Linked DNA regions of Oryctolagus cuniculus. The protein of the gene in region 2 interacts with the protein of the main gene of each other region in a biochemical or structural test. Links are inferred from orthologs where the notes say so. Each region holds a gene or a part of one and is shown on either strand. Other genes may lie near its edges.

The links.
Region 1: the proteins of RNF114 (region 2) and XAF1 form a complex in vitro, tested with the Homo sapiens proteins (2 studies listed by BioGRID). The link is inferred for Oryctolagus cuniculus from reciprocal best matches to the Homo sapiens genes RNF114 and XAF1.

What each region holds. Positions count from the first base shown.
Region 1 is NC_091448.1:49,844,149-49,847,648, forward strand, and holds part of XAF1 (XIAP-associated factor 1), read right to left. Parts: intron 2,396-3,500; coding exon 2,263-2,395; intron 540-2,262; coding exon 320-539; intron 1-319. UniProt on the Homo sapiens protein: Seems to function as a negative regulator of members of the IAP (inhibitor of apoptosis protein) family. Inhibits anti-caspase activity of BIRC4. Induces cleavage and inactivation of BIRC4 independent of caspase activation.
Region 2 is NC_091442.1:10,686,664-10,690,163, forward strand, and holds part of RNF114 (E3 ubiquitin-protein ligase RNF114), read right to left. Parts: coding exon 3,429-3,500; intron 3,129-3,428; coding exon 3,014-3,128; intron 1-3,013. UniProt on the Homo sapiens protein: E3 ubiquitin-protein ligase that promotes the ubiquitination of various substrates. In turn, participates in the regulation of many biological processes including cell cycle, apoptosis, osteoclastogenesis as well as innate or adaptive immunity.

The DNA.
Region 1 (3,500 bases), on a different chromosome or scaffold from region 2:
TCGTCGGGCACAGTTGATCCTGGGTAGATTATCTACCAGCAAAGATTACCATCCGAGGGGTTTTAGGCTGACTCCATGTCACCAGAACAACCGATGACATCAACACAAGATCTGTTCCACCGATGGCTGTGGCCTCCTCACTCCCTGTGGGACTCCAGGCCCTCACCCCCTGGCCTCTTGGTCACCTTGGACCAGGATAGACACACAGCAAGGTCTGGAAGAGCCAGCTGAGCTGAGACACACGCAATGCACACGGCTTCCCTTCCTCGCATCCCGCCCAGGAGAGAAGCCCCTCCTCCCCCCAGCCTGAGCTGCCTACCTTTCCTGAGCCCGGAAGCCTGCCTGCCCCCACAGACACCTCTGTGCTGGGCCAGCTCATGGAGCATGACGAACCGGCCGCAGTCCGGGCAGCGCTCGGTCCGCGCCCCGCAGTGGTGCTCGTGGGTCTGCAGCTTGCTGAGGTGCACGGCCAGCTCGCAGAACTTGCACTCCACGGGCTGCTCCAGGTGCTTGTCGGGTCGCTCCAGGCACTCCTCGGGCTGTGGGAGGCAGCAGGAAGGGCGTGGTCTTGGGCCTGCCTCTTTGACCACAGACAGGTCAAGGACATGAGCCCACGTTCCTAGGGAACGGAAGCTGATCGGAGGAAGCAGGGGGAAGGGCCGGAGTGCGGGACTGTCTGTCTTAGGGAAAGATGAGCTCTCTTGGACTTGGGGACTGTGGAAAGCCCTTCCGAGCAGTATCGGGGGCAGGTGCACCCGGGCGCCCTGGTGGCCTGGTTCTCACTGCTCTCTGAGCCTACCTGAGCAAGGAGGGAACAGCCCGGTGAACATGTTAACTGTTGGCCTCTCCTCCCCTCTCACTGCCCTTTCCACAGGGTGGCCAGCTTGATGTCACGGAGGAATCACACAGGGACTCCCCTGCTATAATTCCAGCAGTCTGATGGCACATTGCACAACTGACCTAAACATCCAGACACAGGACCTCCAACCCTGCACTCCAGCATGGAGTCGTCCCACCAGTCGTCCCAACTGGTGCCTTCAGTGCTGTGCCAGATGCCCACCCACCTTTTTAAAACTTCTATTTTGTTTGAGAGACACACCCACGACCCGCCTCACATCTGCCTTGGCTCATGCAGCTGCAGTTTTGTGTCCATGAGCTCCTAGAGAGTAGGGATTGGGTACAGCTACCTCAATCTCCCTCCATCATCACCCAGCTTAGTGCTCAAGAAGTGCCTGCTGGCCCAGTTAGAATTGAGATGGTTGCCTAGGGGCTGGCGTTATGGTATAGTGGGTTAAGCTGCTGCTTGCGACACTGGCATCCCATATCAGAGTACCAGTTCTAGTCCCAGCTGCTCCGCCTCCAATCCAGCTCCCTGCTGATGTGCCTGGGAAGGCAGCAGAGGGTGGGCGAAGTGCTCATGCCCTTGCCACCCACAGGAAAAACCTGGATGGCATTCCAGGCGCCAGGTTTCAGTCTGACCCAGCTCTAGCCGTTGCAGGAATTTGGGGAGCAAACCAGCAGATGGAAGATCTCTTTCTCTCTCCCCCCCTCTCTCGCCATCACTCTGGCTTGAGGACTCCAGACAGAGAGATGAGGGGCCTCAGGAGGCGCTGACATGAAAAGCAGGGAACAGAAATCAGCCAGGCTGCCCCCCTTCCTGCTTCCCTTCCGCGCGAATGTTCAAAGAACCAGCAACCCTTCCTGCACCAGGGACCCCTGGTGTGGCTGCTGTATGGCAGCCGTAGGGGAAGGACTGGAAATGGAAACTGTCCTTGTCACAGACAGGGACTGAATGGGGCGACGCCAAGTGGCTGCAGGGAGAGCAGGATGCAGGCTCCGGCCCCCAGGCCCCATTTATGTGGCTGCAGGGAGAGCGGACACTGCCCCCCCCCAGGTCCCGCCCACATGGCTGCAGGGAGAGTGGACACTGGCCCCGGTCCCCAAGTCCCGTCCACATGGCTGCAGGGAGAGTGGACGCTGGCCCCGGTCCCCAAGTCCCGTCCACATGGCTGCAGGGAGAGTGGACACTGGCCCCGGTCCCCAAGTCCCATCCACATGGCTGCAGGGAGAGCGGACGCTGGCCCCGGTCCCCAAGTCCCGTCCACATGGCTGCAGGGAAAGTGGACGCTGGCCCCCGTCCCCAAGTCCCGTCCACATGGCTGCAGGGAGAGCAGACACTGCCCCCCCAGGTCCCGCCCACATGGCTGCAGGGAGAGCGGACACTGGCCCCGGCCCCCAGGTCTCGTCCTGCCGCCCCCTCACCTGCTGGTGCTCCTTGAGATGGTCTGCCATCTTCACCCCCGGGATGGGCTCCTTGCACTCAGGGCAGAGTTCCAGGAACCTCAGGCAGTGGGCCTCATGGAGGGCGAAATGGGCAGAAGCCACACTTCTTTTGCTGCAGGAATAGGGGAGAGAGAGCTGCGGGCTCATCGCCATGGTATCCAGCGTGGAGTTGGACTTCACACCTAGGCCAGCTCTCCAGAGCTGCTCAGCACTGCAGGTGTGGCGATGAAGCCCGCTACCCAGCCCTGCCCACGCTGGCCCCGAGTCGGAACAATGCGACATCATGACACTTAGAGGTGGGGATGCTGTACAGAGTCCTCACGGTGCCAGGGGAGGGGGAGGGGAGCAGCCAGGAGGGACGGCTTACAAAGGAGACTTTTGGGGGGTGATGATTCTGGGACGGATTCCCACAACTATGTGAGCCATCACCTGCTGCCTCCCAGGGTAGCAAAGTTGTTTTAAAAACAAGATAATAGGGACCAAATTCTGAATTTTGTCATTGTCGTTATTGCTGCTTATTTGCTGCTGCCCCTGCTTGGTCCCCAGACATTTAGGACAGCGCTCCTGCCATGCTCAGAGTCCCTGCACGAGCCGTGGCAGTGAGAGCTGCCCAGGTCTCTGAGAGTGCCGGCCAACCACCTGCCCGCCTGCAGGAGGTCGCAGGGAATGAAGCCTTGGGAGCCTCCACTGCCCGGATGTCCCCAGGAAACGCCTCCTTTTGTTCCTGGGTTCTTACTGCTGGCAGCTTGCGGGGAAGGAAACTGTGTGGCTGCAGCCTCAAGGCCCAGGGGACCAGGGCAGAGTGCGGCCAAGTTGCTGGCGTGCGGGCGGGCCACGGACAGGAGCTGGACAGCTCTTGGCATCCGCAGTGCCCGGGCAGATGCAGGCTAGCGGCTTCGCTCTCCCTTCCTCTCTTCTCTCCCTGGCCTGACCCCTCTGCTGTCCTTGAGCCCATTCAGCGCCCAGAGGGCGAGGAGGTGGTTGTGGCTGGAGCAGAGCTGTCCGGGGAGGGTCCACCCTGGTCCCCACCGCAGGTGGAGAGCAAAGCTGTTGTTCCCAGGCCAGGTGCTGCTGAGTTACAGGTGTGCTCCCGCCCCCAGCTTGGCCCTCCGAGCCCACTCCACAGCTCCTTCTGAATGGGAGGGTGGGAATGGTCCTGGACAATCTCCCAAAACCCCTTCCTTCCACAGATCGGCCCGGGGACCCCATGAGTGTCA
Region 2 (3,500 bases):
AGAGCTGCAAAGTGGAAAGGTGTGGGGCCGTGAAAACGTATAACATGGAAAAGCATCCATATCAAGAGTGAAGAATGGCCCTAAGAGGACGTAGCTGAATCTCAACAAAAAGCTTAAATGGCTCTGAATCATGATTTTGCACTTTTCCATATACGTAGCTGAGCGCTATTCAAATACTAATGAACACTCAACGAAGACCATTCCTGATACAGTGAAGAGAACAGGTTTAGGAGCCAGGACTGGTTCTGCCACTGACTCGTTAATGGGCACCTGACTTGAACTTGGGGGGTGCACTACCCACCACTTCTAACAAGGAGGGCGGAGACAGCGCAGGAAGTGAACTACAGTGCCTCACCGTTTTACTCAACCTCCTACTTTAGCTTCCATGGCTACCAATACAGCTGAATCTGTTTTATTTTAAATTTGAGAGGCGCAGCTGTAAAGACAGCGTGACCATCCACTGGTTCATTCCTCAAATGCCTACAACCACCAGGGCTGGGCCAGGCTGCAGACAGAACTCAATCAGGTCTCTCCTGTGCATGGCAGGGGCCAAAGCACCTGAGCTGCACCTGCTGCCTCCCAGTGCACAGCGGACTGGAGTCGGGACTGCAGCCAGGCAGGAGCCGTGCATTCCTCTACGGGGGCAGGGTCTGAGCCACTAGACCCGTCTAACTTTCAAACAGAAGATGGGAAGTAAGGGCAGGCAGGTGGGCCCTGTGTATCTGTATGTCTCTCTTCCAATTAGTAATTAGTTAATTTTTTAAAGATGTATTTTATTTATTTGAAAGAGTTACAGAGAGAGGTTCATTCCCCAGACGGCCTCAATGGCCAGAGCTGAGCTGATCCAAAGCCAGGAGCCAGGAGCTTCCTCCGGGTCTCCCACACGGGTGCAGGGGCCCAAGGACTTGGGCCATCTTCTACTACTTTCCCAGGCCACAGCAGAGAGTGGGCTCAGAAGAGGAACAGCCAGGACTAGAACCAGCGCCCATATGGGATGCTGGCACTTCAGGCCAGGGCGTTAACCTGCTGCGCCACAGCGCCAGCTCCAGTAATAATATTAAGAACTCTTAAAGCCTCTTGAAGATGGAGTTGAAACCTTGGCTTTGCGGAGTACACCGCTTTCTATGGCAGTGAAGCTGAAGCCTGCCCATTCAATGGAGTGCAGAGATCAAGAGAAGCAGTAGGAGATAAATTGGAAAATTAAAATGATAGAGGAGGTAGATACCCAATGACACAGGAAGACCAAGGTCCATTACACGAAGGGAGAAATCTAACACTGCTAGGGTCGGTGTTGTGGCACAGTGAGCTAAGCTGCTCCTACGATGCCAGAATGCCAGCATCCCTTCCAGAGTGATGGTTCAAGTGCCTTCCAGCTTCCTGCTGCTGTGCCCAGAAAAGCAGCAAAAATGGCCCAAGTCCTTGGGTCCCTCCTCTCCGCGTGGGAGACCCAGATGGAGCCCCAGGCTCCTGGCTTTGACCTGGACCAGTTCTGGCTGTTGTGGCCATTTTGGGAATGAACCAGCAGATGGAAGATCTCTTTCGGGACCGGCATTGTGGCATAGCATAGTAAAGCCTCTGCCTGTAACACTGGCATCCCCAGTGGGCACTGGTTTGTGTCCTGGTTTCTCTAATCATTCTGTGGTATTTAAATGAAACAGCAGGGCCGGTGCTGTGGTGTAGGTTAAGCCTCTGCCTGTGGCACCGGAATCCTATATGGGTTAAGTTCTGGCTACTCCACTTCCAATCCAGCTGCCTGTTAACGCCCTTGGGAAAGTAGCAGAGGACAGTCTGAGAGCTTGGGCCTCTGCACCCACATGAGACCTAGATGAAGGTCTAGGCTCCTGTCTTCAGCCTGGCTCAGCCCTGGCTGTTGTGGCTATTTGGGGAGTGAACCAGTGGATTAAAACCCTTTCAAATAAATACATATTAAAAAACAGGATTATTTTCACCTACCTGAAAGGCACAGTGGGGTGGCACTGTGGTACAGTGAGTTAAGCCTCACAGCAATAGCAGAGTGCCAGCTCGAATTCCGGCTTACTGCTAGTGCACCCGGGAAGGCAGTGCATGGCTGAGGACCTGGGCCCTGCCACCCGCGTGGGAGGCTGGGATGAAGCGCCTGGCTCTCGGCTTTCACCTGGCCAGTCCCAGCTGTTGCAGGCAGAGAAGAGAGAAGCAGCGGATGGGCCAGCGCTGCAGCTCACTAGACTAATCCTCCGCCTAGCGGCGCCGGCACACCGGGTTCTAGTCCCGGTCAGGGCGCCGGATTCTGTCCCGGTTGCCCCTCTTCCAGGCCAGCTCTCTGCTGTGGCCCGGGAGTGCAGTGGAGGATGGCCCAAGTGCTTGGGCCCTGCACCCCATGGGAGACCAGGAGAAGCACCTGGCTCCTACCTTCAGATTGGCACAGTGTGCCGGCCGTAGCGGCCATTTAGGGGGTGAACCAATGGATAAAGGAAGACCTTTCTCTGTCTCTCGCACTAACTCTGCCTATCAAAAAAAAAAAAAAAAAAAAGAGGCTGGCACTGCCGGTGGCAGCTGGCAGCTTTACACACTATGCCACAGCGCCAGCCTCTTTTTTTTAAGACTGACACAACGGGTGAAGCAGTGGCCTGCAGTGCCGTGATCCCCAAGGGCGCCCGTTCAGACCCGGCTGCTTCACTTCCGATCCAGGATCTGTTACCAGGAGGGTGGATGTGAAATGGAACAGCAGGGACTAGAACTACCACCTGGACATGGGATGCGTCTTCCTAAGCAGTGGCTTAGCCTGCTGTCCCCAAAAGTGTGCATTTTTCTATTTTAAAAGAAAACACTCTCGGGATATACATTTAAGGATTTCGGGCAAAGGTCATGGCATCTCTATAACTTAGTCCCAGACGATTAGCCAACAATACAGGGACGGGCCGGGTAAGCCAAGGTGGTAAAATGTTAATAATCCGTGAATCAGGAGTTCACCATTTTTCAGTAAGTTTGAATTTTTTCCCCAATAATACAGTAAAAAAAACCAAAAAGTCCTTACCACAGACTTGGTGTCCATGCTGTGGGATAATTTGCAGTGTTCCACAAGTCCTTCCTGATCAAAGTTCTTCTCAGGACAGTAAGGACAAGGAAAGGTGTAACGGTTTGGGACGTTCCTGGCAGACAGACATGGGAAAGGTGAGAAGCTCTCCGCGGGCACCCTGCCATGCAGCTTCAACCACTGTCCGTCCCACAAAGGAGCCACACCCACTGGGTATGGGACAGCCCCACCCTGACCAGGCCACATGCTGAATGGGCTAACATCTGAAGTGACCAGCAGACAGTCCCCCCACTTGAAGCCGACTTTGGCCAGACTAACAATCGGAGCTCCACTCCCCCAAACTCAGGCATGTGAAGCGTCCAAATCTGTGCAGCCGAAGCTGACCGCCACCTGCCGGCTCGACTGGGTCGTTTACCTTGGCTGAAGCGATGCATCCTTAGTGGTGGCCTTCACGCCCTCCATGATGTAATTCTGGTATTTGGAGCAG